Linked DNA regions of Cricetulus griseus. The protein of the gene in region 3 interacts with the protein of the main gene of each other region in a biochemical or structural test. Links are inferred from orthologs where the notes say so. Each region holds a gene or a part of one and is shown on either strand. Other genes may lie near its edges. The genes, in order: Ube2k, Ube2s, Anapc11, Pttg1 and Ube2c.

What was found.
Region 1: the proteins of Anapc11 (region 3) and Ube2k form a complex in vitro, tested with the Homo sapiens proteins (3 studies listed by BioGRID). The link is inferred for Cricetulus griseus from reciprocal best matches to the Homo sapiens genes ANAPC11 and UBE2K.
Region 2: the proteins of Anapc11 (region 3) and Ube2s form a complex in vitro, tested with the Homo sapiens proteins (31 studies listed by BioGRID). The link is inferred for Cricetulus griseus from reciprocal best matches to the Homo sapiens genes ANAPC11 and UBE2S.
Region 4: of the proteins of Anapc11 (region 3) and Pttg1, one has a biochemical effect on the other in vitro, tested with the Homo sapiens proteins (3 studies listed by BioGRID). The link is inferred for Cricetulus griseus from reciprocal best matches to the Homo sapiens genes ANAPC11 and PTTG1.
Region 5: the proteins of Anapc11 (region 3) and Ube2c form a complex in vitro, tested with the Homo sapiens proteins (66 studies listed by BioGRID). The link is inferred for Cricetulus griseus from reciprocal best matches to the Homo sapiens genes ANAPC11 and UBE2C.

The regions. Positions count from the first base shown.
Region 1 is NW_023276807.1:132,627,835-132,632,763, reverse strand, and holds part of Ube2k (ubiquitin-conjugating enzyme E2 K), read right to left. Parts: intron 2,940-4,929; coding exon 2,840-2,939; intron 191-2,839; coding exon 62-190; intron 1-61. UniProt on the Homo sapiens protein: Accepts ubiquitin from the E1 complex and catalyzes its covalent attachment to other proteins. In vitro, in the presence or in the absence of BRCA1-BARD1 E3 ubiquitin-protein ligase complex, catalyzes the synthesis of 'Lys-48'-linked polyubiquitin chains.
Region 2 is NC_048602.1:23,448,526-23,454,188, forward strand, and holds the start of Ube2s (ubiquitin-conjugating enzyme E2 S), read right to left. Parts: upstream 4,008-5,663; 5' UTR 3,801-4,007; coding exon 3,798-3,800; intron 3,012-3,797; coding exon 2,864-3,011; intron 2,001-2,863; coding exon 1,810-2,000; intron 315-1,809; coding exon 1-314. Other genes in the region: extensin-like, read right to left, coding at 4,698-5,663. UniProt on the Homo sapiens protein: Accepts ubiquitin from the E1 complex and catalyzes its covalent attachment to other proteins. Catalyzes 'Lys-11'-linked polyubiquitination.
Region 3 is NC_048600.1:133,092,162-133,097,834, reverse strand, and holds the start of Anapc11 (anaphase-promoting complex subunit 11), read right to left. Parts: upstream 3,941-5,673; 5' UTR 3,804-3,940; intron 3,791-3,803; exon of another isoform or gene 3,647-3,790; intron 3,296-3,646; 5' UTR 3,278-3,295; coding exon 3,169-3,277; intron 1-3,168. Other genes in the region: Alyref (THO complex subunit 4), read left to right, coding at 4,061-4,294, 4,618-4,749. UniProt on the Homo sapiens protein: Together with the cullin protein ANAPC2, constitutes the catalytic component of the anaphase promoting complex/cyclosome (APC/C), a cell cycle-regulated E3 ubiquitin ligase that controls progression through mitosis and the G1 phase of the cell cycle.
Region 4 is NC_048600.1:58,114,906-58,120,720, forward strand, and holds the start of Pttg1 (securin), read right to left. Parts: upstream 3,454-5,815; 5' UTR 3,386-3,453; intron 3,374-3,385; exon of another isoform or gene 2,904-3,373; 5' UTR 2,880-2,903; coding exon 2,792-2,879; intron 1,685-2,791; coding exon 1,506-1,684; intron 190-1,505; coding exon 93-189; intron 1-92. UniProt on the Homo sapiens protein: Regulatory protein, which plays a central role in chromosome stability, in the p53/TP53 pathway, and DNA repair. Probably acts by blocking the action of key proteins.
Region 5 is NC_048599.1:14,654,998-14,660,645, forward strand, and holds Ube2c (ubiquitin-conjugating enzyme E2 C), read right to left. Parts: upstream 3,585-5,648; 5' UTR 3,518-3,584; coding exon 3,417-3,517; intron 3,094-3,416; coding exon 3,066-3,093; intron 2,421-3,065; coding exon 2,334-2,420; intron 1,859-2,333; coding exon 1,654-1,858; intron 1,554-1,653; coding exon 1,494-1,553; intron 1,113-1,493; coding exon 1,051-1,112; 3' UTR 878-1,050; downstream 1-877. Other genes in the region: Dnttip1 (deoxynucleotidyltransferase terminal-interacting protein 1), read right to left, coding at 5,171-5,309, 5,415-5,470. UniProt on the Homo sapiens protein: Accepts ubiquitin from the E1 complex and catalyzes its covalent attachment to other proteins. In vitro catalyzes 'Lys-11'- and 'Lys-48'-linked polyubiquitination.

The DNA.
Region 1 (4,929 bases), on a different chromosome or scaffold from region 3:
TGTCCCAAGGACTCAGAGCAATTTAGAATGAGGAAGTCAAATCAATTCCTCCTGTACTTACCCTATCAAAGCCCATAGCACACAGGTTTTCTATTTTTTTGGTGTATTCTGGACTAGAAACTGGTGCTCCAGCATACACATGTGCCCAAAGTCGAGCTGTCTGCTTGAACATTTCAGGATTTTGTTTGTACTACATGGAGGGGGAAAAAACGATTAGCATGACAATGCAGTGACAGTTAACATAGCATCTCAACTAAAGAAAATACATTTATATCTAAGATGGGACTCATTTGGGCAGAGCTATGGGGAACACTGAATGGTATTGTTAACTGAGTCAAAAGTCAGAAGTTCAGTTACCAGCACCTACTATATAATGCGGCAGAGGCAGGCAGATTTCTTTGAGTTCAAGGACAGCATGGTCTATTGAGTTAGTTTCAGAACAGCCAGGGATACACAGAGAAACCATGTCTCAAAAAAAAAAAAAAAAAAAAAGATATGTATTTCAATACTTTGTAACCAAACAAGCAAAGTTATTAGTTATTTTAGATGTTAAAAAGTCAGCTTTGGGGGCTGAAGAGATGGCTCAGAGGTTAAGAGTGCCAACTGCTCTTCCAGAGGTCCTGAGTTCAATTCCCAGCAACCACATGGTGGCTCACAACCATCCGTTATGAGATCTGGTGCCCTCTTCCGGTGTGCACATATACATGGAAGCAGAATATTGTACACATAATAAATAAAATCTTAAAAAAAAAGTCAGCTTTGATGTTACATCTAAATCTGTAGGAAAATCAGTGCTAAATTTCTGAAGACAAGATGTCTGCTACCAAATTATTAATGAATAGCACATATGTGCAAACTGCGAAAAGCCCTAATTCCAAGCACTTTAAGTCCATCAATGGAACTAAGGAAGCACGCATAAAAAAGAATAAGCAGATCTTCAAGCAGAAGGAAGAGAGAAGGGAAGCCTGAAGAGGTGTCTCTTCCCAGCACCAATATTAGGTGGCCAAAATCAAGGATATATTACCTTATTTAGACCTCAACAGGTACTGGCACTCAAATGCTCATACCCAAAGACACACATATATATATAATTTTAAAAATAAGTCCTTTTGTTTTGTTCTTAAAGAACTTAAGGATAAAGAAATTTGGGCCGGGAAGATAGTTCAGCAGCTAAGGACACCGCATAAGCCTGACAAGTTGAATTTGATAACTAAAAGCCTGGCAGTGGTGGCATACACCTTTAATCCCAACACTCAGGAGTCAGAAATAGGTGGATCTGTGACTTTGAGGCCAGCCTGATCTACAAAGCAAGTTCCAGGACAATTTGAGCTACAAAGAGAAACCCTATCTCAAAGGAAAAAAACAAATACAAGAACAGTTTGAAGCCTGAAACTTAGGTAACATGGCTGCTGTGAGGTACCTATGCCCACGCTTAGACATCAAGCAAGTATGTTCGCAAGCACACATACACAGGGACAGTTCTAAAAAATATAAGGATATTCGATAAGAAATGTTTCCCAAAGGAGAAACAAGGAAAACAGTATAAAAATTAAAATGATTACAATCCCAAAAATTCATGAATTCGAATAACATTATGAGTTAAAACATGTTCAATAGCTTAAATCATGGAAAACCTCTGAAATGTAAGTGTTAGGTCATGAGTGAATAACAGTTGATTTGGGTTGTTAGTTTTGAAACAGGGTCTTACTTTTTAACTCTGTCTGGTCTGGAATTTACTTAGTACAGCAGGCTGACCATGAACTCACAGAGGTCCACCTGTGTCTGCCTGCCAATGGCTGGGATTAGAGTACACCTCCACACAGGCAGGATCTGGGGTTCAGAGGTCAAGCACGGTGCTTTGATCATCCAGGGAGTGCATACAATGGAAGGGGAACTACAGTAGGAGCCAATAGCTCTCATTAAAAGTGATTAACAGGCCGGGCACTGGTGGCGCACGCCTTTAGTACCAGCACTCAGGAGGCAGAGGCAGGGAGATCTCTGAGTTCGAGGCCAGCCTGGTCTCCAGAGCGAGTGCCAGGATAGGCTTCAAAGCTACACAGAGAAACCCTGTCTCGAAAAGGAAGGAAAAAAAAAAAAAAAAAGTGAACAACAATGGCCAAAAAGGCAGAGGCAAGTGGATCTTTGTATTTTCAAGAACAGCCAGCCAGGAGGACTGTTACACAGATAAACCATGTCTTAGAGAGACAGAGACAGGGAATCAACTTTAAAAATAGGGAGAGAAGAGGAAAGTATTTCATAAATTGAGAGATGTTTAACAATAAAAATGCTCAGTAAATCAGAATACTTTAAAGTAGAGGTTGGTGAACTAAAACATAGATTTTAACAATTTAAACCTTTCAAACCACAGACAGTGTGACTGGATATCAAAATAAACACATGGTTATGACTCTGTTCCTATAAAATGAGATTGCCCAAACCAGCCAGTGTGAATGTACCTTACCTTACCCTTAGAGGCATTAAAGAAAAGGAAAAAGTTCTCCATTCAACACCCATGAAAACCATTGCAATGCCACTACCATCAGCTCCACTTCTGTGGTGGGAGGTTATTATGATCACCACCAGGAAGAAGCCAGTAAGGTATAGAAAGAGGGTTACAAAAGTGCACAAATGATAAAGTGCATGTGGTAAATGCTAACTGTAGAATCTACACAGGTGCTCACTATGGAATTCAATCATACATAAGGGAAAAGCATCTGTCATGTATCCAATGAAACCATTTCCAAATTTAGTACCAATATAGAATGTTCATATGCTGACATCAAATATTAAAATCCATATACACAGGTCTAAGAAAGTCTTTCAAAAACTTCCTTCTTACCTGATTTGCTACTACTGCATCTTGGGGGTCATCTGGTTCTGCAGCTGCCAACAGTGCTTGCAATGACAATAATACCGTGCGCAGAGTCATTGCTGCTGCCCTAAATTTCAAAATAGGAAAACATACCACTTAAAGGGGGTGCTGAACGACCTAAACAAAGTGTATGTTTTCTGAATTTAAATAAGAGTTAACTAATGTGTGTATAATTGCCATTTTTTTCTTACAATGAGCCTATTTCTTCGATAATTTAAATCACTGTATTCTTATCTGACTTCACTTTTTCTTTTTGTTACTCTTACCTATCTTGTAAGCTTTATCTAATGGTTCCATTTATAATTCATTCTCTTCTTAAACAGAATATTTTAGGTTTTAAGTGTATGAGTGTTTTGTCTCCATGTATGTGTGTGCACCTGAGTGCCTGATGCCCAAGAAGGTCAGAAGAGGGTTCTGGATCCCCTAGAACTCCGAGTTACAGATATCATAAACTGCTGTTTGGGTGCTAGGAACCAAAGCCAAGTCCTCTGCAGGAACGCATGCTCTTACCCACTAAGCAGCCTCTCCAGTCCCTTACCCATATTTCTTAGTAAAGAGATAATTAAAGTTATTAATATTAACATGGGGATTTTGAAAGTTTTATTGTTTTGAATTGTAAGAATATTCATTTATGTGCATATAAGTACAGGTGCCTACAGAAGCCAGAAGCAGCTGATCCCCTCCAGCTGGAACTACACACAATTGTATGTCATCCAACATGGGGATTGGAAATTCAACTTGGGTCCTTCAAAGAGCAGTAATGCCTTTAACCACTGACCCACCTCTCCAGCCACCTCTTTTAATAACACGCTAAATAAAACAAGCAAATAAAGTACCCTTTAGAAGTTCCAAAATAAGTCTGTTATATTCCAAAATAGGACAAATTTTTGTTTAAAGTATCATCACTTGGGGTTGGAGAGATGGTTCACAGTTATGCATGTGTACTGCTTTGGCAGAGAACCTAAGTTTAGGTCCCTACATAAAGGGTTGTGAGTTACACTGAGACGTGTCTCAGACAACAGCAGCAAACACCAAAAAACAGGCTGACCTGCTAAACTAGCATTTAAGACACAGAGTTCTTTTAAAAGCTTTGAAAACACAGCTGGATTGCCGGACATTAGTGGCGCACGCCTTTAGTCCTAGCACTCAGGAGGCAGAGGCCAGCCTGGTCTCCAGAGCCAAGTGCCAGGATAGACTCCAAAGATACACAGAGAAACCCTGTCTCGAAAACAAAACAAAACAAAACAACCACAAAGGTGGGTAGTACTAGCCTTTACTCTAAAGATCACTGTAGGCAGAGGCAGGCAAGAGTTCAAGACCAGCTTGGCCCACAGTTTTAGCACCTCAGCTACACAGATGCTGTCCTAAAACAAAACCTTTAAAAACAGCTACATAGTTCTATATCCTAGCTGACAAAACAAACCATGTTTTCTTTTTCCTCCCCCCACCTAGACCTAGGTGTTCAATTTCCTAAGAGCATCAATGTTAATTTTCCACCAAGAGCTGTAATACTAAATTTTAGCACAGAAGTTGATAAGATGTCTAAGTGGATAAAAACACTCATGACACCAGCCTCAAGACTGAAGTTCATCCCCAGAACTCAGTTGAAAGTTTGATGAGAGACCAGAATCCATACTGATATCCTATGACCTTCACACAGAAACCATACCCATATAATAAGCTCTGAAATAAAGATTAAGTCACATATAACCACACTTAGCTCTTAAATATTTATATCTGTCTTTCCATTACCACAAAAACACGGAAAGAGTGTATCACTCTGATTTTAATTTTTGAGGAATTTCAGTGGCTGGAGAGATGGTTCGGTGATTAAGGGCCTTGCTGCTCATTAGAAGACACAAGTACAGTTCCCAGACTCCATGGCAGCTTCCATCTGTCTTTAATTACAGGTATAGAGGTTTCAACATCTATGGCCTCACACATACATACAACCAAAAGGCCAAATTCATTTAAAAAAAAAAAAAAAAAAAAGAGGCCACTAAGACCTCTCTCCCGTAACTAAATTACTTCTTTTTAAAAATTATGTTTGGGGCTAG
Region 2 (5,663 bases), on a different chromosome or scaffold from region 3:
CTGAGCGCCCGCTTCTTGTCCAGCTTCTTCTTGGCTGCCAGCTTCTTGTCGCGCTCGCCTGCGTGTTTCTTGGCCATGGGACCCTCAGCTCCTCCCAGGCCTCCTGGAGTCATAGGGTCAGTGGAGGAGGCTGCAGCCCCACTTCCCCGGGCAGCCTCAGCCCTCCCGCTGCTGGAGCCACCAGCACCCCCATGGATCTCTGTGAGCAGACGGGCCCGGGCAGCATACTCTTCATAGTTCTCCAAAAGCAGGCGGCCTGCCTCCTCATTGAGCGCAGACTCTGGGTTAGGGTGGATCAGCAGGCACTTGATGGTCTGTGGGGAAAGGGCCCAGTGTCAGGGGGTGCTGTCCACACTTATGGCCTCCACAAATCATCTCTCTCAAGACCAGAACCAGCCTACTAGCATTCTTATGCATGTCAGCACCACAGGCTGTTTTCCTGTTGCTACAAACATTTCAAGGGACCACTGCCTTGGCAAATACAGCCTGATGTTGCCAGAGGCCCTTCCGTCAGGAGACCATTGTCAGCCCCAGACAATTTTCTGGTAGCTAATGTAGCTTTGACCTTGCCTCTACAGGTGAGCATGAGTTCAGAGGTAGTAACTGGGACTAAGGGCATCTAGGATTGGAGAACTCATTTGGTTTTCCATAGTGGTTGGTCACTGGCTTTACCAGGAAGGCCAAGCTGCCAAGTTCAGAGCCATAGGAACAGATTACACCCAAGAGGGAAAAAAACACCAGGCTGACCACAGGCCTTAAGAATTTTGTGTCTATTTAATCCAGTTCAGTCTATCTAAATGTTAGTTCAGAAGGCTCCATAAATAAATGTTAGTCCCGAGTTAGTGATAGCTAACAGGTGCTTCTGTGACACACCCAAGAGTTAGTAGACGTTACTGATGTTGAAAAGGGATGCAGGATTGATCTCCCCCTCAGATCTTACCACTACACATCCAAACTGGAGGCCTGGCCATCCTTGACACAGCTTCCTATCCTAACAGGCTGAGAAGCAGACCCCATAGCCAGAGCTAACAATTCCAGCACTGAGACAGACCAAGCTCAATTGACATGGGGTTGTTTACCTTGGAACTTAATCCTTTCCAGGTGCCCTAAAGGAAACCCCAATTCTCTATCTTCATTACCATCAGCCCCAGAGACTCACTGGAATGGCAGGGGTAAGGAGGCACCAGGCCACCTAACCACTTTAAGTGGCCTTTAGAGACCTTGGAGCTCTGGCCTAGGCCAGGTATCCATCCCGACCCCGACTGACTGGAACTGTGGAACAGCCCTATACACAACACATGCTAAATCAGTGTCTCCTGACCCACACACAACATGCCAGCAGCGGTACTGACAACCAAGCTATCTCCTGACATTACAAAAGGTCGTCCCAGGCAGTGTAATCAACCCCAGCTAAAAACACTACCTCAGGAAAACAATTCTGAATTAGATAGTGGTGATGGCTGCACCAGCAAGGTTAAAGAACAAAACAAAAACCATACAAAAAGACCCTAGAACACCCCCCAACAACATACCACAACAAACCCCATTCTACTTAGTTGAGTAGGGTGGGCATAATCTTGTAAGCCCAGCTTCTGGGGGAGTTTCTTATTCACCCATATGCTTGGAGGATCACAAGTCCAAGGGTAGTTTGGGTTACTGGTGAAATCTATGACACATAAACAAAAAGCCTCTAACCCACACACTACTACCTTCCATGAAACCACCCTATCACACAAACCCACACTGCATGACAGCACTTGGTGCCACAGGGCAACCCTTCCACTACTTTCCAAAAAGGCTTGAACTCACCAGCAGCACATGTCGGATGCCCAGCTCAGCCGTCCAGTCTCTCTTGAGCACGTTGACACAGATCTCACCATTGGCACCCACATTTGGGTGGAAGATCTTCGTCAGGAAATAGCCCTTGGGTGGGGAGGCAGGGAAGTCTTTGCCCAGGAGGAGCTTCATCCGGAACAGACCTCCAGCATAGGGGGTCCCCTCTGGAACAGAGGAGGGAACTAGGTTAGGATTCCTAGCATCCTTCAACATCTCAACACCCAAGTTTCCTTGGCTCTGCCTGAGGAAATTAGGGCAACAAAGAACAGTCTCCCAGGTACTACAGGCACCACCCCTTTATACCTTGACTGTATTATACAGCCCACACATCTGGATATCCATTTTCTTTTCCAAGTGAGTGTCTCAGGCACATGCCAGCTCTTCAAGACAAAAGGACCCAACCCACCAACTTTTCTTGCAAACCATTTCCGAGGCCTTTCCAGATCCTCATGGGATGTGTTGTCATTTACCTCCTTACTTGGGTGGAAAATGGTAATCACTGACGCTCTACACTTACTCAACAGTAGCTGGGCAGATGCCCTCCACACCCCAGCACTATGGACCACACACTTCAAACACCCTGACTTTGTAGGAACTCAGATGAAAAGTGACATCTTATCTCACACAACCGTTTCCCTCACATTGCTGAGTCTTGTTTGCCCTGCAATGCTTCCAGAGCCCAGACACCTGGCAGCTGAATAGCTGTTTCAGATCATCTGTATCACCCGGGGCACTTTCTATCTCTAATTCCTATGCATCCTCAGGGCCCCGCAAAGTCACACTTGACAGCCTTAGCCCAAGCCAAGGCAGACGCTCCATTCCACGCTCAGTGACCAGGGACGTCTCCATATTTTTGTTGTTATCTGCGATGTGCCGGATACTCACGGGCACAACGCTGCGACTGACCTACCCACACTTTGTCACCAGCCACCACCAGAGAGATAGCCTTGAATCCTGTTTGTTCCAGTCACACGACAGAAAAGAAGTGGCCACTGCCTTTGGCGCCCACGCACACGCACACGCCCACCTGGGCCCTCGATGGTGACTTGCAGGTCCGTGAGATCCTCCTCATTGGGGAAGACTTTGATGCCATCCGGAGGGTCGGCCGTCAGCGTTGTCACCTCCTTGTACACGAGGCGGATGATGTGCGGAGGCAGATTCTCTACGTTGGAGTTCTGGGCAAGGGCGAAAAGGGAGAAATGAGCAGCCCGAAATGTCTGGGATTTAAAAAAAAAAAAAAAATCCGGCGGACGGCAGAATCGTAACCTTGCAGGTCCCAGGCTGTCAGTCAGTCAGTCAATCAATCAATCAATCAGTCAATCAGCCAATCAATCAATCATCGCAGGCTAACTAGGCCCTCCCGCAGGGTGCTGCTGCTGCTGCTTCTGGCCGTTGCCCCCGCCCAGGCTGGCGGGCCCACGGATCCGGGAGGCTGCCTGGGAAATGGGCTTCACGTACTCAAAAATGGAAAAAAAAAAAAAAAAAAGAAAAAGAAAAAAGCCTCGCACAGACCGATCGTTGAGACGCGCGTGGGTCCATTAGTGGCGCCAGGTGGGCCTGAGGCCTAGCTTGTGCCCGTTCCCTACTTAGCTGGCAACACCACGCCAGAGAGGAAAAAGAAAAAAAATTAATAAAAAAAAAAAAAAAAACAACGCTGGACGAAGAAATGGCGGCGGGATGTCTGGCTCCCGACAGCATCGAGGGGCGGGCCCGCAAGGGGCCCAGCGCTCCCCAAGGCTCCGAGGCCCGCCCGCCGCCCGCCCGCTCGCATTCCTGCAGCGCCCGCAGGAAGGAGGCCTCAGCGCCGACTCCCCGCCCTGCCGCCTCGGAGAGCACCCAGAATCCGGCAGGGAGCACCCCCAGGACCGGACCGGACGGGACGCAGCCGCCCATCTCTGCCCAGGTCCCCAACCGCCCCGCCAGGCCGGGCCGGGCGAGCCGGGCCTCCCGCGTCCGCTCACCATGACTTCGGCCGACCGGGGGCGGGTCCCCCCGGCCCCCCTTTGCCTGCACTCCTCGAACCGCCGGCCGGGGCGGGGGGCCCAACTGCCGGCCGCTGTGGCCCTAGCGAGGCCCCCCGAGGCCCCGCTCCGCTCCCCCCACCCCCGGACTCAACTCCGACAACCGCTACAGAGGAGCTCGCAACGTTACGCCTGCCCGGCCGCACTGAGCCGGCCGCGCGCCCGGCGCGGCGTTTTTTAGCCGCTCGCGGGCCCGCCCCCCCCGCTCCCCGGCCCCGCCCCCGGCCGTCCCCCCCCCAGCCCCGCCCGCCCCGCCCCGCGCGCCCCGGCGGGCGGACGTCAACGCGCACGCACGTTCCTCTCAGAATGGGGTCGGGAGGGCGCGCGGGAGAAGTTCCAGCCCGGGGCGTGTGGCGCCGAGCCGTCCAATGAGGGCTCACGTCGCCCGAGGAGGCCATTCCCCCCGCGGGGGAGAAGCAAGAGGCTGCAAGCCCAGAGCCCGGAGGAGAACCGGGGGGCGCCGGCCCCGCCCCCTCGGCGGCGACGAGGCCGCTGATTGGGCCGTTTGAATGAGACGCCGCTCCGCCCCTCGGTTCCCCCACCCTCCCCGCCCCCGCCCCGAGCGTGCGCGCGCTTTCTCGCGCTCGCGCTCGCGCCCGCGCGTGCGCGCGCGCGCACTCCGGCCTGGAGGAAGTCGCGCACGCGGCTAACGGTCGGCTCGCCAGAGAGGACGGGGCGGGGCGAGGGGAGGCGGGACTTAGCTGGGGTTTTAAAACGAGTGACGGACGGGCCACTGACCAATAGGGAGGGCCGGTGGTGATTTTTTTTTTTTTCTCTCTCCCTTCCCCCCACCTCTTGGGGGGCGGGGCAGGACTGGAAAGCTCCCAACGGGAAGGGAGCTTAGCGTGATGGACTCCGCCGCTGGCCAATGAAATCCCTCCGTGTCTTCTCGCTATGCAAATGTCGCGCGCGCGTTGGCTGGCGTCCCGGCCGGGGTGCGGTGGAGGGAAGGGGGTGAGGTGGGTGGCCGCCGGAAGCGGGCGCGTGGCTGTCCGCGCGGCGCCATTTTGTGGCGCGGCCCCCATGTTGTGTGTGAGCAAGCCTGTGAAGGCTCGCACTTCCCGCGCCCCTGGGGTGTGGCTTGTGTCTGTGAATCCCGGGATGCCAGCCAGGGGGGAGCAGGGAGGGAAGTGCCACCGTCCTGTTGTTCAGGGCGTGGCTTTGCCTTTGGCCCTTGGCCAGGCCCCCCCCCCCGTGTGGCAGTTTGGGGACAGTCACTCGGTTGCCTGGGCCCCGGGGCAGGCCTTGGGGGCCGCCCGCAAGCAGGAGAGGGCGCTGGAGCCTGACCTTGGCCTCCACGGGCGGTTGAGGGGAGCAGGGTGCTGAGAGCCAGGGCGTGGCCGCCCCTGGGTGTGGCCCAGGGGGTCTGGGGGATCCCCACTGAACATGGAGGGGGCCTGGGGTGTCCCCACTGAAGGTGGAGGGGGCCTGGGGTGTCCCCACTGAAGGTGGAGGGGGCCTGGGGTGTCCCCACTGAAGGTGGAGGGGTCTGGGGGGGTCCCCACTGAACGTGGAGGGGGCCTGGGGTGTCCCCACTGAACGTGGAGGGGGCCTGGGGGGGTCCCCACTGAAGGTGGAGGGGGTCTGGGGGGTCCCCACTGAACGTGGAGGGGGTCTGGGGGGGTGGAGGGGGTCCCACTGAAGGTGGAGGGGGGGGGGGTCCCCACTGAAGGTGGAGGGGTCTGGGGGGTGGAGGGGGTCTGGGGGGTCCCCACTGAAGGTGGACTGGGAGGGGGTCTGGGGGGTCCCCACTGAAGGTGGAGGGGGCCCACTGAAGGTGGAGAAGGTGGACTGAAGGGGCCTGGG
Region 3 (5,673 bases):
CCTAACTTCAGCAGAACTCTGTTTGAGATCACCCTTTTCCAATCAGACTTTCACCCAACTAGCTCACCAACAAGGATCACTGAGCTGGCTCATCTGTGGGTGGTCCTGTGGAGGGAGGAAGGTGCTGCCCTATGCTCAAGATGTCCCTACGGCGACAAGCCAGAGTACTTGATGAGTATGGTGTGCACTGAGAATGACTCATGCTCAGAGTTTGGCAGTGCCCTGATGAAATTATTTTTCTAATTAATTAAAATACCTCTTGACAAGACTGCTTTACCTTAAAGCCCCTTGGGACCTGAAACAGATTTATTACAGGCCTTGCTAACTTAATTTTCACAGGAGTTTAATCTGTGAGAAATCTGGTGCTTACAGAATCTATCAAGAAAACACACTGGGCCTATCAGCGCTGGGCACATTAAAGTCAACTCCCTCTCACTTGAACCAGCTATGAGCTGGACTAAGTCTCCCACTCTACACGGCCAACAGGCCTGAGTTTACCTCACACATATGAGACACTAAGTGCCTAGACATGCTTTCTGGTCATCCCTTTTGTCACAGACCTAGATGGGGTAATCCAGACTGTGTTCTGCAGCCCCATGTGTGGGTCATTTATGCCCAGGTAAGACTGGGTAGCTCTGGGGACAATGGAGTCACCTTCAATCTACAGATTTAACTTCCACCCTTTGCCTGAAGGTGGGAGTGGCTGGAAAACCTCCTGAAAGTTTTTACAAGTTAACAGTCTAATGCTACAGAAGCTACAAACAAGCCATTGTCCTCTGACTCCTATACTCTTTGTGGCTCTGTTAAATAAAGATTCCTTCTAACCAGGCAGTGGTAGCACACGCCTTTAGTCTCAAAAATAAAATAAAATAAAATAAAATAAAATGGGCTGGGAATACAGCTCAGTGGTAGAGAACTTGCACAGCACATGCTAGGCCCGGTGCTCAATACCCAGTACCATCAAATGAGAAATTAATTGAATGATGAAGAGTATTCCCTCCCTTTAGCCTTCACACTCTTGAGAGTTCCTTCTTATTTTTCCTTAATAAACCTACATTTGTGACAGGCAGTGGTAGCACACACCTTTAATCCCAGCACTTGGAAGCAAAGGCAGGTGGCCCTCTGTGAGTTGAGTCCAGTCTGGTCTACAGAGATACTTCCAGGACAGCCAAAGCTACATAAAGAAACCCTGTCTCAAAAAACAACAGCAATTGGGGCTGGAGAGATGGCTCAGAGGTTACACTGGCTGCTCTTCCAGAGGTCCTGAGTTCAATTCCCAGCACCCACATGGTGGCTCACAACCATCCAAAATGAGATCTGATGCCCTCTTCTGGTGTGCAGATATACATGGAAGCAGAATGTTGTATACATAATAAATAAATAAAATCTTTAAAAAATTGTTTAAAAACAACAACAAAAAACAACAAAAATCTACAAGTGTTCTGTTGAAAATAAAAACTAGAACTGTGTGTTCAGTTACTAATCACAAATGTTATAAATAAAAACTTAAACCAGAAAAATCAATGAATTCCTAAGAAACTCACACTTGCTGGGCAGTGGTGGCACAGGACTCTAAGAAACCCTGTCTTAAAAATCAAAAAAGAAAAGGAAAAGAGACTCTTTAATTACATCAAGATAATTATCTTGATTACATCAAGATAATTAACTCTTAGCCAATAAACCAGGTTAGGTGATCTGAGCTGTACACGCCTTTAATCCCAGCACTCTGGATGCAGACGCAGGCGGATCTCTTTTATCTTGAGACCAGACTGATCTACATAGTGAGTTTCAAGCTAGCCAGGGTTACATACTGAAATCCTGTCTCAAAAAAAAAAAAAAAAAAAAAAAAGACAAATGACAAATATGAGGCCAGTGGCAGTGGGTCCAAGAGCTAATCTAATACACAAACTGACTCAGTGGAGCCCATTCTCTATAGAGAGATAGCTTGCCCAGCCTAGACACAGGGGTGTGGGGGTGGAGAGGTGCCTTGGTCCTGCCTCAAGAAGATGATAGGGGAGACTTAGTAGACTTCCTAGGGGAGGATTTACCCTCTCCAAGGAGCAGATGGGGGGGGAGTGGGAGGAGCAGAAGGGGGAACTAGGATTCGAATGTAAAATATAAATTAATAAAAAAAGTCAAGTCACAGCTCTTTAATTGCATCAAGATGATTAACTCTGGGCTGATAAACCAGGCTGGGAGATCACATTGGTTCATACCTTTAATCCCAGCACTCTGGATGCAGAGGCAGGCATCTCTGTGACCTTTGATCTACATAATGAGTTTCAATCTAGCCAGGGTTACATACTGAGAACCTGTCTCTAAATAAATAAATAAATAAATAAATAAATAAAGACCTTTTGCATTCTGAAAAACATTAAATTCATAAAGCTCAAATGCCTGGAAAACAAGAATAGTAAGAAGTATTTAGAACAGAGAGCTGAGAGTCCTGAGATGTCAAGAATGGCTCAAACCCCAATAACAAGACATTTGGGGAAAGATGCTGGAACGAGGATGCTAGAGCAGCTTTGTGAGACACGGGGCTTAAGTTGCTCATAGTTTATAAGCATCAACTTAAAGTATGGAAACTGCTGTCTGAACTTCAGTGTGCTGGGCAGGGGTATCCTCATTTGTTCTGCTTTGCTTGGAGAAAATTCAAACTGGAAGTAGCATTTTGAGGAATTAAGAGAATGACCAATCATCACAATGTATCCCAGGCAAGCTTCAAACTCAAGCCTCCTCTTGCCTCTGTCTGTGCCACCATGCCTTGGCAAAAACAAAAGTGTTGTTTTTGTTTATTTGCTTTTCTTTGTTTTTACAGACAGACTCTCATTATGTAGCCTCCAACTCAGAGGCTACCTGTTTCTGCTCCCAAATGCTGGTATTACAGATGTTTGCCACCATGCTGGATAGGGTCTTTATACAAAAGTGAGTTTGAAGAATTCGTTTATTTTCTGTCAACTTTCCTTCAGGAAATGGAAAGTAAAACCCACGGTTTTATTTTCTGGTTTTCTTAGTTTTTCGAGACAGGGTTTCTCAGCGTAGCCCTAGCTGTCCTGGAATCTCGGAGATCCTCCTGCCTCTGCCTCCCTAGTGCTGGGAAACCCAAGGTTTTCAAGGCTGGTGGAGCTGGCCGAAGTTCTGAGAGCACGGGGGAGGGGGGGCACTTACAGTCTGGACAGCAGCCATTAAACGCCATCCTGCAGATGCCACAGTTCTCATCGTTGGCTACCCAGAGCCACGTGGCCACACCATTCCAGCACTTAATCTTCACCTTCATGGCAGCAGAGCGTGCGACCTGAGGGAAGAGGGTTTCCTGGCTAAAGTTACTCTGTATTACTACCACAGACGGCACTTGAGCATTTAAGGCGGGGAGCTGCGTGCTAGGCGCCTCCAGGGAGCCAGGCTCCCAAGTTGTTTTGCTATGTTGAAGGTCGTTTTTAGAGCTGTGCACCCAGGTAGCGGGCCAGGCTGGCTCACGCCTTTAACCTCAGCGCCGCGGAGGCAGATCCGCCCAAAACCAAAGGAGGAAAACAAAAACAAAAACCACTGCATCCATGAAAAACACCTCGGTTTTCACTCACAACCCGCGCGTGACAAGCCATCAGCTTGCTAAATTTAAATAAAATTAAATTTTAAAAAACCATCCCTTCGAGCCCACAAACCCCAAATCGGATCCACAGATCGGCCCCCCGCCTCGCAGCTCAGGGACTCGGCGGGCGGACGGACCGAACTCGATCCGGCGCCTTCCGGCCTGCGCAGGGCGGATCCCAGGCCAGGCCCCGCCCACGCCTCGCCCACTCCACCTAATCTCGCGGCGCCCCGCCCTTCCGTTGCAGGAGCGCGGGAGGTATAAAAACGACCGCGCCGCGCCGGGCGCCACACACTCGCGCGGGCCGTCCTCCTGAGCGCAGCGCAGGCGCCCTCCGCTCTCCGCGCGCGCCGAGGCCAATCAGGGGCAGCTTCGGGGGCCGCGACGCCGGAAGACCAGGGGAAGCTCCGGAAGTGACCTAGCGACGTGCTGACGCGCGGGCTCGATCTGAGGCCCGATTCCGCGCCCGCCATGGCCGACAAAATGGACATGTCTTTGGACGATATTATCAAGCTGAACCGGAGCCAGCGAGGCGGCCGCGGCGGAGGCAGGGGCCGTGGCAGGGCCGGCGCCCAGGGCGGCCGCGGCGGGGCGGTGCAGGCGGCCGCGCGGGTGAACCGAGGCGGCGGGCCTCTGAGGAACCGGCCCGCCATCTCTCGCGGCGCCGCCGCCGGCGGCAGGAACCGGCCGGCTCCTTACAGCAGGGTGAGCACGGGAGGCGCGGCGCCGGCGGGGCGGGCTCCCGGCGCCCTGAGGCGGGCGGGCGGGCGTCCTGCGGGAACCGCGGGAACGGAACGGAACGGAGGGTGGGCGGGGGCGACGCCGCGCGGTGAGCGAGGCCCCGGTCACAGGCCGGGATCTTCCGGGACGCTTTGTCCGGTCCGGTCCCGCCTCGTGGCGGCGGAGCGGCGGGCGTGGGGGTCGTCTCCTCCGGGCTCTCGGGCCGCCGTGAGAGAGAGAGTGTGAGTGCCGGGGAGGGATCGGGGCGCCCGAGACGAGGTCGCTCACGAACCTCTCTTTCCCTTCAGCCGAAACAACTTCCAGACAAATGGCAGCACGATCTGTTCGACAGCGGCTTCGGGGGTGGAGCCGGCGTGGAGACCGGCGGAAAACTGTTGGTGTCAAACCTTGACTTTGGAGTGTCAGACGCAGATATTCAGGTAAGAGACCAGAGCCGTCCGCATGCTTATCCCCACACACAGAATCCCTTCTGATCAGAGCCTGTGCTCCCCCAGGCTGCCCAAGGGCCAGCCGCTGCCCTCACAAAAAGTAGTATCCCCTGGGGTTTGAATGTGACTGATAGGTCAGGCTGCTTGGAAGGCAGCCTGGTGTGCCCCCAGAGTGGCTCTTGTCTGCTAACGTCACGAGCACCTGCCGTCTGCAAGGCTTACAGTTTCTAACGGGCACAGACTGGCCACAAGTCCGGTCCCTGTGTGACCGAGGGTGCTAGCTTCTCAGGCTTTGTGCCTGTAGTAGTAAGCTTATGAGAAGGAAAACTCTCCCCACCCCCACATGTCTGAAGGCACAGGGGTGAATGGTGGCTGTGTGTCTTCCAGACTGACCTTTCCTGGGTCTTACCAGGGGCATTGTTCTCATACCTTTGGTTGAAGTCTTTTTTTCTGTCTGTCTGTCTGTCTGTCTGTCTGTCTCTCTCTCCCCCCCCCCCCATCTCTATCCTCTCTCCCTCTCTCTGTCTTTCTTCTGGCCCTCAAATGCAATTAGAGTTAACAGAGCAGGTTTTTAGGAGTTAGTTTTGGGTCATGGGTGCTGGGCCTTTCTGGGTTCCCTTTCTCAGAGCCCCGCCATTTGGCCTTGTCAGGGAGCATAGAGCAAGGCCAGTGAGCACTCACAGTGTCTCCACACTTTTTTTAAGGTGGTTTCTGGCATCCACTGGAAACCGCTTTTGGTGAACTTCACTTCCCGCTGTGTGCCTGCGGCCGAAGTAGCCCCACACTCTGGGTTCCCTCTCCAACTCCCAGCCTGCCTGAGGTCAGGGCAGTCTCCATGGCGCATTTGACTTCAGACTTTGCAGCAGGCTTGAGTAGGAGGAGAGGGAAAGGTGAGCCAGAATCTGCCTTTGGGGG
Region 4 (5,815 bases), about 75 Mb from region 3:
CCCAGAGTCTGGAGCAATACATTACAGTCACATGACATTAGAGTCTAAGAGAATCTCAAGCCAAGGGCATTTCCACCATACAAAGACCTTACCTAGAGGATTGAAGGGGAAGAACTTTTCTATTTCTGGGTAGGCGTCATCAGAAGCAGGAACAGAGACTTGTTGTGTCTTAGGAGCCTTCTCAATGGTCTAGAAAAACCCAAGAGAATAAGCACCTGTGAGAATAGAAGTGAGGTTGGAGGGCCTCTTCAAATGATGATTTCACTTTAAAATTTGTCAATTCTGTGTTCTGATCCTTGGTTTTCAGGATTCAGTCAAAAGACAAGAAGAGAAGTGACTCCTGGAAGTTGTCCACCGACCTTGAAATGCATGCCATCACATGAGCAGGCCCTGCGCTACACAGATACAAAAGCTAAGGAGCTGGAGAGATGGGTGACTCAGTGGTTAAGAGCATTTAATCCTCCTACAGAGGATCCAGGTTCAGTTCCCAGCACCCACAGGGTGGCTCAAGCTATCTGTAACTCCAGCTCAAAGGAATCAATGTTCCTTTATCTCCTCCTCAGGCACATGGTACACTCATATACCACACAGGCAAACATCCACACATACAAACTAAGTATTTTTTTTAAGTTAAGTTAATCAACTCGACTGTTCAAACCTAACAGTAGAGAAGATAGGCTTGAGGCACCCCAGAATAGTAGCCAATCCTGGGAGTCATTTTTACCTTATAAAAGTATGATTTTTCTGCCACTGTTACCTTAATCATTTGCCTGGCTAATATTAAGAAGTTTATGTTCCCTTAAATATATGGGCTTAAGCAGCAGCAAAACATAAAACATCTGAAGAATACCAGGCTGACAATAGCAGTAGGCCAAAACAGAAACCTGGGTGCTCTGGATCTTATCTCATACATTTGTGTGTGCCAGACTTGGAGGTGGGGCTGTAGCTCAGGCTGGCCTCCAACCAGCCCATCCTCCAGCTTCAGCTTCCCAAGTGTTAGGATTGCAGGTGTCTATCAAACCCAGCTGAGTACTTCACACACCTGCTGGTGGCTTCTAACCAGCTGCTTCCTGAAACTTGTTAAGGAGAGCTGAGGCATTAGTTACAATCTCAAGGGTGCTGAGCAACCAGGAGCAGTACACAGTGTGATTCTCCTCTGCTCGTTTGTTTATGGACCGCTATTTATCTCCTACTTGGAAGAAAGCCAGGTAGAAGACCTAGAAGTCCATTTTTAAGCATCAGAAGTACTACAGCGGGGCTTGCGATGGCTCAATGGTTAAGAGCACCTGCTGCTTTTCCAAAGGAGCTGGATTCAGTTCCTAGCACCCATGTAAGGCAGCTCACAACTAACTGCCTGTACTTCCAGTTCCAAAGCACCCAATGCCCTCTTCTGGTGTCCTCGGGTGCCCACACACATGCACATTAATGCACATACGAAATAATAATTTTTTTTTTTTAGGTGCTAAAGCATGAACACACCCCCCATCTTCCTATCCCGAACTCACCTTTTTCACAGTCAAAGTTGGTTGCTTCTGTTTGAGGGGTCTATTGATCTTCACTGGCTTTTCTGTAACCCTGTTGACAGTTCCCAAAGCTTTTCTGCTGGCTTTAGGCAAGACTGGAGCATTGAACACTTTGCCAACTTGTGGCGCTGAGATCTGCAATTTCCCATCTGAGGCTTTGACTATTGAGAAAAAGTATAATCCTGAGAATAAATAAAGTCTGCCAAACCTGACTGCCTGAGTTCAATCCCCAGCCCCCACAAAGTGTAAGGAGAACTGACTCCCACAGGCACACCATGGAACATGTGTGAATGCCCCCACACATATACAAATATGTAAGTAAATATGGTGTTCTTAAAGATTAGGCCATATAAACACCTCAACTTGACCCAGTTCTCACTCACAAACCCATGCTTTGTTTTTGGCATTTTAGCACACTGTTAAATAACCTCAGTAAGACAGTAAGATGAAGCCGGGCAGTGGTGGCACACGCCTTTGATCCCATCACTCGGGAGGCAGGCAGATCTCTCTGTGAGTTCAGGGCCAGCCTGGTCTACAGACTGAGTTCCAGGACAGGCTCCAAAGCTACATAGAGAAACCTTGACAGAAACAATAATCTGACAACCAGGCATGGTGGCACACACCTTTAATCCCAGAACTCAGGAGACAGAGGCAGGTGGATCTGTGAGTTCAAGCCCAGCCTGGTCTACAAATCAAGTACCAGGACAGCCAGGATTGTTACTGAGAAACCCTGTCTTGGGGGGGAAAAAAAAAGACAATAATCATGAAGCCAGGCATGTGTCTTTAATTCTAGCACTTGAGGAGGCAGAGGACAAGTGGATCTCTGAGTTCAAGGCCAGCCTGATCTACATAGCAAGTTTCAATCCAGTTAAAGCTACATGGGGGTGGGGGTTTCTGCTTCAACAAATAGATTAAGCATAGAGCCTGGGGACTTGATTAGTATGTAGAGTGCTTGCCTAGCATTTGAGAAGCCCCGAGTTCAATCCACAGCATTGCATAAACCAGGCATGGTGACCATGCCTATAATCACTGCACTGGGCAGGTGGGGGCAGAAGGCTCAGAAGTTCAAGATCTCTCTAGGTTATAAAGGGAAGTAGAGGCCAGTCTGAACTACATGACACCTTTTCTAAAGTTAAAAAGATAATAAGCATGAAAATATATGAAACCTGACTCTAATCAACCACAAAGTACACTAAATGCTATGGTCTCTAGACCACAACCATCATCCACTCCCAACACCTGTATATTTGAAGCCAGCCAATACTTACCACCAGACGCCAGCTTCAACCCATCCTTGGATGCCAAACGGCTGCCTGGTTCTTCATTATCCTTATCAATAAAGATCAGCGTAGCCATCCTGGATTACTCTAGAGGAGAGACCTATTGGGGAAGGCATGAAGAGCTAAGCGGCAACGGAGACCAAAGTCTACCCAGGACACATGTGCACAAAAAAATAAGAATTAAACTAAATCTTAAACCTTCAATTTAAGAACCTTAAAACCTTCAGAGTCAGAAATACTAAACTCCTAAAGAGAAGGCAAGTGAAGTTGGCACCCATCAAAACTGTCTCCCGGCTGTAACCGCAGCGCTAGGGAGGAGAAGGCACGAGGTTCGGATATTCAGGGTTGGTCTCAAGAACATAACAAGTTCGAGACCAGCCGGGGCTGCTTGAGACCTTGAAGAGGGAGGCAGGGGAGAAAAAAATTTAAATTAAAACAGCGTCGCCGCGGGTCAAGCACGTCAAGAGCGCCCAGGGACTCGGGGCCGAGTGAGGTTCAGATCCCGACCCTGCTTCGGTCTCCAGTCTGCCCCTAGCCACCCGGAGCTCACGCACAACACCCTCACACAGCAACTAAACTCACCCAAGACTGCGCCACCAACGACACCGCACTCCGCGGTTTAAAACACAACTCGCGCTTCAATTGGACCATGCGAGAGGAGGCGGGGCCTAGAGTCTGACAACCAATGAGACCAACCGAAGTTTTTAGTTACCGCCCCCCTCCAGCGTCTCTCTCTCTCTCTCCCAGAAATTAAAAAACTAGGGTCATACATTGCTCAAAACTCCTGATGGACTTTTTGTTATCCACAGTGTGGACCTGTGAGGAAGCATTGGTCCAATAACAAAAACGTCGTTTCGCTACTTTAAACTTGTAAGACTTTTTTTTTTTTTTTTTTTTTTTTTTTTATAACAGGGTTTCATGTGACCCAGTCTGGGTGATGGGTTTCTCTGTGCAACAGCCCGAGCTGTCCTGGAACTAGTTTAGCTCTGTAGACCAAAGTCAGTGTTAGCTCACACCTTTAATCCCAGAACTGAGGAGGCAGAGGTGGGTGGATCTCTGTGAGTTTGAGGTCAGCCTGGTCTACAGAACAAGTTCCATGACAGCCAGAGCTACACAGGGAAACCCTGTCTTGAACAACAACAACAACAACAAAAAAAAAAAAAAAAAAAAAAAAAAAAAAAATGGTGCTGATAAAATTTGAGGAATGTACCTTTATTTTGAAAAGTTTTCTCAATGTTTCAGAGAGAGGTTTGTAACACTCTGAAATGCAGGACTCCCTTTTATTAGCTAAGGACTTACACCTTTACTGTCCTTCCTCTGCCCTAATCCTGTTATTCCCTTAATCTGCTTTCTCCTTGCATCTCCTTCTAAATGCTGCTTCTTCATATTAAATCACTAGCACACAAAAGTTTTGGTTTCTAAAAGAAATCTGCATAAATTCTCACAGCTTCCACATGGATATTCTCTAATTCCTTGAGAGGTTTTTCTCCCTTTCTCACCAACAGGAAACATGGTTATGCCCAGGTCCCACTGCAAGTAAATTACATAACCACAGTGTCTTTAAAGGGCCATTTGTTTTCTTAGTGATGATGTCCCTAGCTGAGCCCTGTGATTCCCACCTGTTACTGGGGAGTAATATACCCTTTTGGTTGGTAAACTACCCTCGTGTAGAATGCTGAGTCCTTAGCTAATACAAGTTTCTTCTAATCCAGCTTTGCAAAAAACACTCACCAGCTATGACCTCTACCTTCTTGGTATCTCTAGAATCTTCTTGAGAACTCAGACCTGGGGGACAATTACTCCTTCTTGTCCAGAAAGTTCTGTAATTCCTCTGGAAAAGCATTCTGGCTTTGGCCTGGCTAATTAAATCTCCACAATCTATAACTTTGGGCTCTTCGACTGAGGCAGGGATGTTAGCTATATTCATCTATATTTGAAGAGGAATTCATGTGGGGAATCGTAAATAACCACAAGACAGCACAAAGAAATTTTTCCAGGGAATAGCTCAGAGAGCTTGCTGTTCCTGCAGAGGACCTGTGGTTTAGGGATCTGACGCCAATGATGTGAAAACTCATACATCTAAAATAAAACAATGATTTAAAAAGAAAGAAAGAAATTCCACTAAAATCTATTTTCCAGTAATTTGTTTAATGTTTTCTGTCTTATGGGGGACTATTTAAATTTGTTTGTTTGAGATAGGATCTTATTATGTCACTGGCCAGGAATTCAAAGATCTGCCTATCTCTGCTGGGATTAAAGGCGTGGGCCATTATGCCTACCTTCTTGGTTTTTTTCAGTAAACATTTTTGCTAAAATTCTAGAAGGAACAAGGGTTCAACCCTGCGGGGGGCACAAAGCTGCACTGCCACCATTCTCCCTGCAGGGTGCACAACGAACTACTTGCACAGACCGCGGTCTTGTTTGTTTAAAAAAAAAAAATCTCCAAGCACTTGAGAGTGCGCATGTGTCGTCCTTCCGGAAGTTATCGCTGGGCTGCCGGACGAAGACAGGGAACCCGGAAGTAAACATTACCGGATTACTTCGTTCGCGGCGGCTGCTTTGGCGTGGCCTGCGGCCGGACTGGGTAAGTTAGGGTTCCGAGACTCAGCAGACGAACTGGGAGCCTCGGGGGAGCGGGCATTTCCTGCAGTGAGTCCTCGTGGTGACGACCCGCGGAAAGACCGCGGACCGGGATGGGGGGGAAAAGACTACCGCCCGGGGCGCAGGCGCAACCCTCGGGTCCAGCCGGACAGAGGCTGAGTCCTCAAGGAAAGAGTCCTGGTCATAGGGAGGCGGACGCCTCTGTCCCCAGAAGAATGCCTTTGTTTTGGTTTTTTGTTGTTGTTGTTTTGGTTTTTCGAGACAGGGTTTCTCTGTGCAGCTTTGGAGCCTATCCTGGAACTAGCTCTTGTAGACCAGGCTGGCCCCGAACTCACAGAGATCCTCCAGCCTCTGCCTCCCGAGTCTGGGATTATAGGCGTGCGCCACCAACACCCCGCAAAAGTTTAAATT
Region 5 (5,648 bases), on a different chromosome or scaffold from region 3:
CTCTTCCAACTGAACGACAGCCTTTGCTGATCACCTTCTTAACTAGACCACAGCAAGAGTAGCTGGGGCCCACCAGAAATGCAACCTCCTGCTGCCCCTCCCAAGGGAAGTCGTATTTTAACAAGACCCCAAGCAGGTTTGTCCATATTTTGATTGATAAAGCTCTATGCCCAAGAGAAACACTAAGAATACTAGTTTCTGAACTAGTTTCACATGTGGCTGTAGGGAAGGTCCCAGGACTGAGCACGGGCTAACAGTAGTTAACAGACCAGACCTGTCTCTTTCCACAGGCCTGTACAACCAGCTGCTTGCAGAGCTGACAACTTAGGCAAGGTTTGTCACCTCATGGAGATGGAGCAGGAACCATCTGTGGGAGACTTGGGTCCAGAGCTCAGTCTTTTCCGGAGCTTTGGCCTGCTGTAGGGCAACCTGAACACCTCCTCCCATTTAACATGTTAGAAAGTGGGTGTCTAGTGCTCCCTCTCTCTTACAGATTCCTGAGCTAAAGGGTCTGGTTTAACCTCATCTGTAACCCAACAGTCACTGTACATGCTGTATGTAACTCCTCACAAATGGACATTATTTCTGGTGCTGGAATTGAACTCACGACTTCACAGGTCTTAAACATGCTCTCTGCCAGGGATCTATACCTTTGGGGAAATACATGAAGAATGTATGCGGCATGATAAACTAAGACACAAGGTAGCATCCTAGTGAGTGACCACTGGGCCCCATTGTCTATCAGCTGCTTCCAACCCTGTAAGGAACAGGCCAATATCCAGATGTTAAGTTAGCCCCCCTCTTGTTCCGAGTACCTCTGGCTGAGGATAACTCTGAGACAGCAATTTATACAAAAATAATCAACTCTGAGGCAGCAATCTGTACAAAAACAATCAATGTGTATTTATTTAATATACATTGTAAGGGCTCAAATAGACTTAATTTAAAAAAACAAATAAAACAAAAATAACACCACAGCTTAGAAACCAAGGAAAGGACAGACCATCTAAGAAAAAAAAGACGACACAAAAGAGAGGCTGGACATCTTGGTCAAGGGTCTTCTTGACTGCAGACCTGCTTTGAATAGGTTTCCTGCAGGTACTTCTTAAATGCTGGAAGAGAGCAGCAGGTTTCAGGCGAGTGATGGGATAGATGGGGAGGCTGGCAGGGCATTCTCCCTGCAAAGTAGACCCCCCTCTCCCAGTTGCTCTCTAGTTGGCTCCTTTACAGACTTGTTCCCCGAGTCCAGGAAAGGAACAGGAGACAGGGTTTCTCTGTGTAGCCCTGACTGTCCTGGAGCTCTCTGCAGACCAGGCTGGCCTCGAACTGAACTCAGATCCACCTGCCTCTTCGTGTACCACCACCAGGATCAGAGAAACATTCTATCCAAAGATCCCTTTATCTGTTTGAGTATGGGATCAGCAGCAGGGCAGATGCAGACGGAGTCCAGTGCAGACCCCCAGAGTCCCTTTGGAGGCCAGAGAAGGACCTACCTGTGGGGTTTTTCCAGAGCTCAGCAGCATGTGTGTTCAAAGGGCTCTCGATGTTGGGTTCTGTGGATGGAGTGAGAATAGTCAGGGGGACAGATAGAGGCTGACTCGGGGCCGTGACCAACAGCCCTGGAGTGCAGGAGTGAGTGGTCTCTGGAGTTACCTCCTAGCAGACTCTGGATGGACAGCAGGATGGTCCTGACATCATACAGTGCGGACCACTTATCCTTGAGGATGTCCAGGCAGATGTTGCCCTGGGTGTCCACGTTGGGGTGGTAGCAGGGTGTGAGGAACTTGACGGTGGGTGCGTTGTAAGGGTAGCCACTGGGGAACTCTAGTGAGAGTTTATACCTCAGGTCTTCATATACCTGGCATTTGGGGAAATAAGGGCAGAGTTAAGTCCCCTGCTCACCCTCCCATCCCACGCCTCCAGCCCCACATTCATTCACTCCCCAAATAAGAGTCTGAATCCGGCCAGCAGACAATGTGTGAAGTTGGTCCTAGTACCTTCTTCCTATCAGGGGGTTATCAGTGACCTTTCGGTCAAAAGATTGAGACTTGGCATCCTGAGGGCCACCAGAATAGTTCAATTAGTATCTTAGTCAAGGTTGGCTCAGATCCAATCTCTGACTTAAATCCAGATCTGCAGCAAAGGGCAGCTGCTTGTGGCCCCCCTCCACTGCACCATGGTCTAGAGGAAAGAGCCCTTCCCATGGCACTCAAAGCAAATGGCCACAGGGCTCAGGCATGTGTGCAGGCCCAGGGAACTGAAGCCAGCCTAGCACTTGGAGATCACCTCCTCTGCCACACTCAAAGTGACACCCGCTCCCACAGCATACTCACTGTGCCGGCTGCTCCATGGATGGTCCCCACCCATTTGAACAGGTTGTCTGATTCAGGGAAGGCGGAAATCCCTTTGTCACCAGACATCTGGGGGGAGAAAACACCCAACTGCAGGATTCCAGAGTGCGCTTTCAGGCATAGCAAAGTCGATCACTGGGTGAGCCTGCCCGATATAGTCAGGTCCTAAACAGAGCAGCTAGAGCCAAATCACAGGTTGCTCACTAGGCTAGGAGGAAGGGTTGGTACAGGAAAGCACATGGTATTCAATTTGTTTGTTTGGAGCCTGTCCTGGAACTCCATCTGTAGACCAAGCTGGCCTTGAACTCAAAGATCTGCCTGCCTCTGTCTCCTGTGAGTGCTGGGATTAAAGGCGACCACAGCCCGGACTGAATTAAATGTTTAGTATGGCATTAGAACTTGTGGATTGACATTTGGGGTAATGCAGCAAAGGACCACCAGAAGAAGGAATTCCAAGGTCTGATGGGACTAGAAATTTCAAGAAGGGTGGGGATGGGTGAGGTTAGAGCTGGGGCCCAAAGGAAGATAGGGGTGAGCCCAGATAAGCCTCCTATGATGGCGAAGGTGGCTGCTGTAATCAAGTAAGGGTGGGTGTTCAAAGGATTGCCCACAAGAGAGTAAATTACACCCATCGGATTAGCAAGGAGCCTGAAGTAGGAAAGAAGGCTCCGGATAACTGGGTGGGGGATGGGATGGTGGGCCAATCGATCTTACCATGAGGGTCATCAGCTCTTGCTGTAGCCTGCAAAGAGAAGTAAGGGTCATTTGGGGGCATGGGTGCTGCCGAGGTGCTACATCACCTCCCACCCAACTATCCTGAGGAGCTGTCATGGAGGCCTCGTCCCTCCTTCAAAGGCAGGCTAAGCTGGGACACACTCGTCATGCACAGGAGGACCGGGTGAACCTCCTGCTGCATGTTGACCTCAGCGCTCCTAGGGCGTCTTCTGAGAGTCTACTGGCAGCGCCACCAGCCTTTCATGTCCTGCGTTTCTGGTGCCCCTCATGTGTCCCAAGTCTCACCGGCTCCTGGGGGTGAGGCTCCGGGGTGACCTCCGCACCACTCACCTCTTGCCCACAGGGCCCCGGGCTGCGCCCCCGCTGGGCTCGGCTCCCTTGCGAACGGCTGCGACGCTGGCGGCGGCTGGGTCGCGGTTTTGCGAGGCCATCCCGGGAGCGCTGGCACCGTAGCAGAAGTGCGGAGACGAAAGAGCAACTGCGGGGCTGCGGGCCGCCGCCCGCGTTTGAATCGCAACCCTCCCGCAGCGCCAGCCAATCACAGACTCGCTTGGGTTTGATCCAGCCAATGGGACGCCCCGGAGCGCTCTGCTTCTGCGCAACCGCTGGGCCACCCAGTTACGCGCTGCGATTGGACGGCGGGGGACTAACTCCAGGCAGCCGATTGGAGGAAAAGGCTGCCATTAACTAACGAACTGGTAGCGGATTGGTGGCCTTTGGACGACGCCAACCATTAAAGGGTCAAGGAATCGCCCACGTGCACCCCTCCCCCCGCGGGTTTTTTCGGGACTCGGACTCCTGTCGCTGTCCTGTAATTAGGCTGCGCAGCCAGGTATGAACTTGACTTCTTGATCCCCCCCTGGCCTTCACTTCCTAAGTGATGAGGTTATACGAAAGAGTGCACCGCATGTCCGGCAGTGATTGGACCTCTGTCCAAACCCTTGGGCCTTCAGGCACACACCCAGCAGGCATCATCTCTTCCGGAAAAGGGTGTCTAAGAGCTTGACATTTTTGTCTCCCTCAAGCTGGAAATCTTTTCCCCTCACCCTGTTAAGTCCCTTCTGTTTGGGTCCCAAGAACTTTTAAAAAGCCCAGGAAGGTAGGTGAACCTAAGGCTGCAAGTTGGAGCCGACTCCCTATTTATTAGAAAACGTGGGTTCAGGTGGTGCATGCCTGTAATCCCTTGGAAGGTGGAGACCTGCAGGTCAGGAATTGAAGGCCACCTCTAGGCTAACCTGGTCTATATGGGACTCAAGAAAACAAAAACATCTTTAATCCCAGCACTCTGGAGGCAGAGGCAGGTGGATCTCTGAGTTCGATGTCAGCCAGGATTACACACAGAGACCCTGTCCCAAACACCCCCCTCTTCCCAAATGTAATTCATATTACGGTTCTCCAGTAGGTTTGCTGTGCTACCTCTGTAAGTCAGGGTGTTAGCCTGTAACTTTGGGATAATAAAGTGCAAATCCATTTTTCCTTTGGTAGGTCATCAAACCCCCATGGGGTTTGCCATCACATTGTACAACACTCCTAAACTGGAACAAGGTCAGGGGAGACTGGCAAAGAACAGGTTTTGCCAGGTGGTAGTGGCTCACACCTTTCATCTCAGCACTTTGAGAGGCAGAGGCAGGCGGATCTCTATGAATTTGAGGCCAGCCTGATCTACAGAGCTAGCTCCAGGACAGCTAGGGCTGCTACACAGAGAAACCCTGTCTCCAAAAACAAACAACAACAAAAAACCCTCCAAATTTTTCCTAGTAAGATGGGGGTGGGCAGGTAGGTGGTCCTTTTCAGAGGTGCCTAGTACTTCAGCCCTTGTTCTATCAGCCCTAAGGCAGGCATCACAGCAGGCTCACCATTTGTGTTTATTACAAACTGTTTAATTGCTTCTTAGTCCAACAACTTTAAAAACACAGAACCACATGCCAGTCTGGGTGCTCTTCAGTGAGTCACTACAAACTAGCTCATGTACAGCTTAATGCTGCTAAGATCCAATTAGACCCAGTCCCCAGGATGGCCTCAGCCGGTCGGGGAAAGAGGGTCTTGGAGGCAGGCTGCCAAGTGTAGTAGCCAGAACACCTGGCTCAGGTCTGGGGTGGCGCTTCAGCAGCACGATGCTCATTTTCTGTCCGTAGTGTCTCCATATACTTCCGCATCTTTTCAACCATCCAGGGGGGAAGGACAAAGGATTTCAGCTCCTCCAACTTCAGGTCCAAGCATCCTCTGGGGGAGACATTGTAGGGATGTTAATGGGAGGGTGATGGCCTCATCCGTGTGCGTGCCTACTGAGGCAGACGGGAGTATAGGGAGGAGCCCCTTTGGTTTTACCTGTAATCATCACTGGCAGCCAAGTCTCGGATGTCTTCCTCAATGAGAAGGTAGGCCTGGAGGCAAGGGGGAGTGATTAAAGCCTCTGAGTCATTTCTCAGCAGTTCAGAAACACTCTTATTGTGTAAAGCCTGCTACTAGACAGACTCAGGATGAAGTTTACAGATTACCTGGCCAGAGTACAGAGGAAAGCATGGGGGATGGCCCCTTGAGAGTGTCTTTACTCAAACAGAA